Oryctolagus cuniculus: one gene and its partner. The protein of the gene in region 1 purifies or fractionates together with the protein of each later gene. This does not show direct contact. Links are inferred from orthologs where the notes say so. Each region holds a gene or a part of one and is shown in the gene's direction. Other genes may lie near its edges.

Region 1 (4,264 bases):
CAAATTTAATACACGAGATCTTCTAAAATTATTTTACATACACCTTTCTTCAGAAATATTTAAAAAAGGGTATTAATCACACTCTATTCTAAATTAGTGGTTATAATTGTTTTCTGTTTTGAATTTTAAAAATGCTTATTCTTCATGTTCCTGGAATTTTTCTTTAAGATGAACATAACAGTGTATTTTAGGAGATAATTTTTATTAAACACACACACACACACTGAATGAGAGTCTCAACCTAATTTGAATTGTTTACACATTCGTGGGAAAACCTAGTTGTTAACCTTGGTGAGGGTTCTTTGAGATTGCCTTCTGCAACATAAACAGATTTCTTCCAATCAGAAGTAAACACCGCATTTTCACAGAATGAGGGTTATTGTATGACAACAAACAAAAGGACGTTTAAGCTATACACGCCTGGTCCTCAAACTTCAGCTGGCACTACTGGGGGCTTATGAAAACACACGAGCAGGGTTGGAGACCTTAGACGCTGCGTTTCTAACAAGCAGAGGTAAGCTTCGCTCCACAGAATCTGAGCGCACTGGCTCCTCGATCCTTTTCCTGAACCTCAGGCTCAACCGATGTGTGCACCTGACGGTGCCCGCCGCCGGCCCCAGGGTGGGCAGCGCAGCGCAGGGACCCTCGGGTGGGGGCGGGCCCCAGGCTCCCCTCACGCAGGGTCCCGGGGGAGGGGGTGGAGGGTCGCCCACGACCCGTCCCCCAGGTCCCCGCCAGCCGACCCTGCGGTCCCCTCAGCAAACCTGCGCCCCGCGCGCCCCCTCCCCGGCTCCGTGCAGCAGTCCTGCGGAGCGGGACGCACAGAGGGACGGGCCGGAAGCCGGGACCCCGGGGGAGACAGGGACAGCCCGCGGAGGCCAGCGCGGCCCCGCGCGCTGCACAGGGAGGGGGACGGAGCACCAGCGCGAAAGGGACCGCGTGGGACGCCGCGGGTGTGAGAACGGAGGGGAACCGGACGCAGCTGAGTGGGACAAAGACGGACGGAGCGGCCGCCAGGGAGCAAGCTTGCGTAGGGTGCTTTGCCGGACCCGGCCGGGCCCGGCTAGGGTCACACCGACGGATACGCAGGGGCCCGGGCGGGCGCAGTCCGGCACGGTTCCCCCCAAAGCGGCTCCCTCAGCCCGGCTTCCCCGACCGCCGGCCGACGACGGCGCTCGGCCGCGCACCTCCCAGCACCGACTCCTCCGGCGCGCGACGGCCCGCGTCTTATATACCCTGCTAAAAATAGCCTGCGAGGCCGCCTTCCAATCAGAGAGGGCAGAGTTCGAATTGAGCCAATGAGGAGGGCTGTGATGGAGAGGCTCGGTCACGCCAGGCGGGGCCGCTGCGCGATGTCGCTCGCCATTGGCCGGAGCTGACATCATCTGCGCGCGGCCCTCGGACCGGGCGCGACCGGATTGGGCAGCGCGCGGGGCGGGCGCGCGGCGAGTCACGTGGGGGGAGGGGGAGTGGGGGGAGCCAGCCCGGGGAGGAGGGGGGAGGCTGGCAGAGGAGCTTTGAATAGGGAAGTTTTGCAGGGGTTACGTTTGCAGTCAGTCCGGTGTTTGCAAATATTGTGTGGGCTCCGCGCGCGCGCTGCGGGCTGCGGGAGGGTCCGGACCGGGGCGTCTGATTGAGTTTGCATGAAACTTTCACCTGCCCTGGCGGGGAGAGTTTCGGCTCCGACTCCAGAACGCACACCTCCCCGTGTTCCCGACAGCGGGGACTGTCTTTTCCAACCCGACATGGATGTGCTCCCAATGTGCAGTATCTTCCAGGAACTCCAGATTGTGCACGAAACGGGCTACTTCTCGGCTCTCCCGTCCCTGGAGGAATATTGGCAACAGGTAAATAGGGATTTTTTTCTCACGTGTCCAGGGCGCCGAGGAGGGAGTGCGTGGAGGCGCCAGGCAGGGTGGTGTGTGCTCGGAGGTGCAGCTTTGGATGAGGATGATTGCTGTGGTTCGAGTCATTTAAAAAAAAAAAAAACAAAAACAAAAAAACATGGAAATCCTGATCTCGGAGCGCCCTTCGGCACGCTCGGGGGTCGCTCTGCAGCGCGCCGCGGAGTTGACAGCCGAGCCGAGCGAGCCCGGCTCCGCGGTGCCCGGCGTGTTTTTTCCCTGCCACCCGAGCGTCTGGAGCATCCACCCCGGGGGAAACCCGAACTCCTCGGCCTGATCCCGGCCCGAGCCCTTGGCACGAGTCTGGCGTTTGTACCGGGTCCAAACTCCACAGCTGGACGTTGTCATATGAACGCACTCGCACGGACTGCCAAGGCATTTTTTTTTTAAGATTTTGTTTTTGTTTTGCTGTTTGGTGTGTATCCATACAGCTTTTTTTTTTTTTAATCTTAACATTTTTGACAACGAAACATAGATCTAGGGCATTTCCCATTTGTTTTCCTTGTTTGGAATTCTTAACATGAACCTAGCTCTGTCTTATTTTTCTTACTTGCTTCTCTTGTTGACCAGGAAAAAAAAAAAAAACTGTTTGCACACACCAGTGACTTGTCAGTCATATGACAGGCAGCCCTTCCTAATTGCCTCAAGTCTTAGTTTGGGAAGAAGAACCCCTGTTTCCGGCATTTTACTGGAACTGGAATGTGGGGCATTGGGAATTTTAGAAACTTAATTTTTTTTTTCTCCTTCTAAAAACCTCGGATTGCCTGAGGAGAGAGACTCCAACACTTGCCCCATTGTCTATAAAAAGATAGCAGGAGGGTCCCCGTGTTGTGTCTCTGCCCTGACGAGCTGTTTGCTTTTTGTCACAGAGTGAATTAGCTGATCAAATAGGTTCTGTGGGTTTCCAAGTCTAGAAAGCTTTTAAGAAGGATGAAATGCGAAGTGTTGCAGCCTTCCGATGCCTGCTTAATTGTTCCCGATCCTCTCCTGCCTTCCTCTCCCCCTCCCCCCTTTTTCCTCCTCAAAGACAGGACGTGATTGAAATTGATCTAAGTAGTTTCCTTCGGGCATTTGGGATTTGGGCAACTAGCCAGACTTGGCTCCTGGTGGCCTTCAGAGGCTTTTAAACTCTCTGAGAGCTTGGTTGAGGTCCCTGGTGCTCATCAGGATAATGGAGATTTTAAATTAGCCAGATTATGAAAGTTTAACAAGATCGCAATAAATGTGCTTTCCTGTGTCTTTGGAACATCAATAAAATAACATCGCCGCCTCTCTTTGGAACACTCTCGTATGCACTGTAACTCAGACATCTAATTTTAGGGGGAGAGAGAAAACAATGATTTTACCCCTTTGCTTGCTCATGCTTGCTGTTTTGATGAGTCTGTGGGGAGGGGGCAGGATGTGCATATATTACAATAGAAGGCACACTGCTAAGTAAGCATGAACCCCTTGGGTAGCCTGTGCTCAGGACGGTGCGCGCCCTGCAAATGATTTGTTGAAAAGAGCAGCTTGGTGTAGCAATTTCAGTGTGTGGAATTGCCAGTAGTACAGCCAGCCTTATATGGGCATGCAGGCAACTGATCCTAGTGAGTATCAGGGCAGACATCATTTAATCCTAAAATGTTTCCTACCATTTTTCTTTTCCAGTGGCTAGAAAGTTTGAAATGGTGGGGAGAGGGGATGCTGATCTCGGCAGTTGTAGCTTCTTGAAAGGTTGGTTGTGGGGCTGGGGAGGGGCACCCTGTCCATGACACACTGCATGTATATTTGAACCGGGTCCTTATTTGGCTGCTGGTCAGAATTTCAAAAGGAAGTCTCCTTTGGCATTGCGTGAAAGAAATAGGAGTGATGACTCATACAGTTGTACTCTTGGCCAGTAGATAAAGTTCTTGTTCATTGTGGGACTCCCAGCAGGGCCGTGGAGTAATTTCCCCCTTGCTTCCTTTACAATAGCAGATGGCCATTCTGGAATGATTCCTCCACTCCTGTTGTTGAAGCTTCTTGTTTTTCTCTGACCACTGTAGAAGCAATTAAAGTTTTGTGGCATGCATGGCCCTGCACTTGGGAATGGCATTCTTTGAAAATGGACTCGGTCTGGGCTACACAGGAAATGGGTGGTTTCTCTGCAGCTCCATTGATGTCCTTGAATACAGACAGTTAGTTGCTGTCTGTTCTCTGAGTATGGCCCTGTGTCGTCAGCTGTGTCCCCAACGGGGTCCATCCGAACACATTATGTGCTGTGCAGTCTTTCTGTCCTGTTGTGTGGATACCTGTGGTTTGTGAAGGGTGGATGGATGACTGGGGCTTTCCTTAATACCCAGGGTTCTTGACAGTGTCAGATAATCTGGTTAAACCTGTTT
Region 2 (4,150 bases), on another chromosome or scaffold:
ACCACCTAATCACCGTAAAGACGTCCCCAGAGGAGGGCCAACATGGCGACGGACTTCTCTTGGCACAGCCCAGTTCCCTCCCTCATGATGGGAGGCCCAAATAACACCCATTGCCCAATTTGGAGGCGGTGCCAGACTCACCTCGCTCCCTCATTGGCCTGAGTAACTGAGGGAGAAGCCAATTCACCTCTGCCCACTCTAAGTTCCCGCCTACAGAGCCCACTCGGAATTTAATTGGTTTTTAGTTCACGTCAATATGCGTCCTCTTCCGTCTCTTTTCAGCATTTACCCAATCATAACTTTCCTGGCTGCCCGCCTGATTTCTGATTGGCTATGATCAGCTTCAGCCCAGCCCATTCCGGGCTATTTCTTACCTCTCCTCCCACCAGGACTTTGCCCAGGCACGTCCCGGATTGTGGTTGGTCATTGATGTGTCATTTCTATCGAAGCTCTTCCTATCGCTACCTCTCAGGGATCCCGCCTGCTGGCTGACTGGCTTATTTCCAAGCCTATCATCTCTAGCGCCCGCCTACCTTCACTTCCTGCATTCTTCATTGGCCTTGAAAATTGAGGGGGCGGCCTTTTTGGGCGGATACCAGGCATTCAACTTTGTCTTACACGCCTCAGGGAGCGAGTGAGTATTGTCATTGGATAGCCTGCCCGCCTTTCTTCTCCAAGTCCCTCCTTTCCCCCTCCCTCATTGGGCGGGGCAGCACTGAAGGGGCGGGGCCCAGGCTGGGCTTGCGGCGCGCTGCTCCCTCCTCCTTACCCCCCCCCTCCCTGTCCGGTCCGGGTTCGCTTGCCTCGTCAGCGTCCGCGTTTTTCCCGGCCCCCCCCAACCCCCCCGGACAGGACCCCCTTGAGCTCGTCCCTCAGCTGCCACCATGAGCGGTAAGGATGAGTCCACTCCACGCTGAGGGGTGGGAGAGGAGTGAGGGGGCGCGCGCGAGGGCAGACCGGGCGGTCCCCGCCGTGAGGGGGGGCGGGCGGGAGGCGGCGGCGGCGGCCTTGGTCCCGCCCGGGGCGGAGGGAAGGGAGGGAGAAGGGGCAGTGGCGGGGCCTCCGAGAAGGAGGGGGATGGGCCGCCCGCCCCGGGGGAGGGGGCAGCGTGGCCTCGCCCGCCCCCTGCCCGCCCCGGCCACGGGGGGGACGGCCTTACCCCCCACAACTCGGCCTCCCGCCTCAGGCTCCTCCCGTCGGGGGGCTGGAGCCGCGGGGGCGGCCCGAGCAGGGCAGGCCCCGCCCGGGCCAACCGCCTCCCTGGTCCGCCCTCCGGTCGCCGCCTGCCCCTAGGCCCTCCTCCCCCCACTTTCCGTAGACCTCCCCTCCCCCCCAGCGTCCCGCCCTTTCCACGCCCCTCACCCCGAAACCGCCCTTTCCCTCCAGGGCCCGCCCTTTCCCCGCCCCGAAACCTTCTGATTGCTCACTCCTGCACCCCTTTATCCCCTTACCTGTGGTCCCCAATGGTTCCCCACTCCCGCTTACCGTTTCTCCTTCCCCCCTTTTCCCCTGTCTCCTCTCGGTGCATTTTGTACTTGGATTTTTTGCCTCCATCGCTCTTGTCCCTAATTTTAGCAAGCTTTCCATCCACCCACATGTTGTTTGGCCTTACCTGTCCTGCTCCTTTCTACCCCCAGGACACGTTTTCTTATTTTGAAACCCTTTGTACGGGCCTGCGTGGCCTATTCCCAGAGCACCTTTTTCTGAGTTTAATTTTTGTGCAAGGAAAACCTGAGGCCAAACTTCGTGGCCGTGAGCCTGGCTCATGACACATGTGCCTTGCAGTTCCCCCCTGCCCCAATGCATTTTCTTTGTACTTCCTGTTAGTCACTGCTGTTTCATCATAGCCTTCTGTAAACTCTCCTGCACTCTATCCACCCCCTCCTCCCCTTCCCCCACGCTAAGTTGTTTTTTCTTTTTCATTCTTTTTTTAGACCAAGATCACTCCATGGATGAAATGACAGCAGTGGTGAAGATTGAAAAGGGAGTTGGTGGCAATAATGGGGGCAATGGCAACGGTGGCGGTGCCTTTTCTCAGGCTCGGAGCAGCAGCACGGGCAGCAGCAGCAGCAGTGGAGGAGGTGGAGGCGGGCAGGTGAGTGACAGCCGGAACTGGGGGCGGGGAGGTGTTGAGAGGATGGTTGTAAATACTCGTAGAAAACTGGCTTACTCTTCCCAGAAGAGTTTTAGGAGAGGATTACATTTTATAGATGGGGAAGCCAGCGCAGAGACTCAAGGAACTTAGATTCGCTAAAGATGGTAGTTTGCAGCAGTACCGATAGGACCTCCTTTCTGTTTTTGGGTTGGTTTTTTCCCCCCCTTTTTAATCTTCATTGTGTTGCTGTTTATTTGTTGTATACTGCCCCCTAGGCTGGTGGCTGGGTGTCACTAACTCCTCTCATCTCCCCCTTTCTGGCCAGGAATCCCAGCCATCCCCTTTGGCTCTGCTGGCAGCAACTTGCAGCAGAATTGAGTCTCCCAATGAGAACAGCAACAACTCCCAGGGCCCCAGCCAGTCAGGGGGCACAGGTGAGCTTGACCTCACCGCCGCACAACTTTCACAGGGTGCCAATGGCTGGCAGATCATCTCCTCCTCCTCTGGGGCTACCCCTACCTCAAAGGAACAGAGTGGCAGCAATACCAATGGCAGCAATGGCAGCGAGTCTTCCAAGAACCGCACCGTCTCTGGTGGGCAATATGTAGTGGCTGCCACCCCCAACTTACAGAACCAGCAAGTTCTGACAGGATTACCTGGAGTGATGCCCAACATTCAGTACCAAGTAATCCCCCAATTCCAGACCGTCGATGGGCAGCAGCTGCAGTTCGCCACCACGGGGGCCCAAGTGCAGCAGGATGGTTCTGGTCAGATACAGATCATACCAGGTGCAAACCAACAGATCATCACAAACCGAGGAAGTGGAGGCAACATCATCGCTGCTATGCCAAACCTGCTTCAACAGGCTGTCCCCCTCCAAGGTCTGGCCAATAATGTGCTCTCAGGACAGACTCAGTATGTGACCAACGTCCCGGTGGCCCTGAACGGGAACATCACCTTGCTACCTGTCAATAGCGTTTCTGCAGCTACCCTGACTCCCAGCTCTCAGGCAGTCACCATCAGCAGCTCGGGGTCCCAGGAGAGTGGCTCACAGCCCGTCACCTCAGGGACGACCACCATCAGTTCCGCCAGTTTGGTGTCATCACAAGCCAGCTCCAGCTCCTTTTTCACCAATGCTAACAGCTACTCCACGACGACTACCACCAGCAACATGGGAATCATGAATTTCACCACCAGCGGATCGTCAGGGACCAACTCTCAAGGTCAGACACCCCAGAGGGTCGGGGGGCTGCAGGGGTCTGATGCGCTGAACATCCAGCAGAACCAGACGTCTGGAGGCTCCCTGCAGGCAAGTCAGCAGAAGGAGGGAGAGCCAAACCAGCAGACACAGCAACAGCCGATTCTGATCCAGCCTCAGCTAGTTCAGGGGGGACAGGCCCTCCAGGCCCTCCAAGCGGCGCCGTTGTCAGGACAGACCTTTACAACCCAGGCCATCTCCCAGGAAACCCTCCAGAACCTCCAGCTGCAGGCTGTTCCAAACTCTGGTCCCATCATCATCCGGACACCAACCGTTGGGCCCAATGGACAGGTCAGTTGGCAGACTCTTCAGCTGCAGAACCTCCAAGTTCAGAACCCACAGGCCCAGACAATCACCTTGGCCCCGATGCAGGGTGTTTCCTTGGGGCAGACCAGCAGCAGCAGCACCACCCTTACACCCATTGCCTCAGCTGCCTCCATCCCTGCCGGCACAGTCACTGTGAATGCTGCTCAACTCTCCTCTATGCCAGGCCTTCAGACCATTAACCTCAGTGCGTTGGGTACGTCAGGAATCCAGGTGCACCAGCTCCCAGGCCTGCCGTTGGCCATAGCAAATGCCCCAGGTGAGTCTTCGAGTCTTTTGGAAGTCTGCATTTATAATGAACTGACTAGCATAGCAGCTGAAACTATGGAGTGGGAAGAAGGGAACAGCACCTTTTGGGCTAACACTTGCCCCAGGGCTGGTCAGTTAGAGAAATAGCAGTGCTTCTTTTGAAATCATGTGGAACTAAATTAACAGAAACTTTTCAGTTAATCTGATGTGAAAGGAGCAATTCT

What was found. Proteins that work in one complex are often made in the same cells at the same time.
Region 2: the proteins of KLF6 (region 1) and SP1 purify together in Homo sapiens (affinity purification with western blotting, with the first as the bait; 3 studies listed by BioGRID). This does not show direct contact. The link is inferred for Oryctolagus cuniculus from reciprocal best matches to the Homo sapiens genes KLF6 and SP1.

What each region holds. Positions count from the first base shown.
Region 1 is NC_091444.1:92,835,051-92,839,314, forward strand, and holds the start of KLF6 (Krueppel-like factor 6), read left to right. Parts: upstream 1-1,464; 5' UTR 1,465-1,643; coding exon 1,644-1,847; intron 1,848-4,264.
Region 2 is NC_091442.1:56,373,616-56,377,765, forward strand, and holds the start of SP1 (transcription factor Sp1), read left to right. Parts: upstream 1-1,350; 5' UTR 1,351-1,765; coding exon 1,766-2,095; intron 2,096-2,420; coding exon 2,421-3,936; intron 3,937-4,150. UniProt on the Homo sapiens protein: Transcription factor that can activate or repress transcription in response to physiological and pathological stimuli.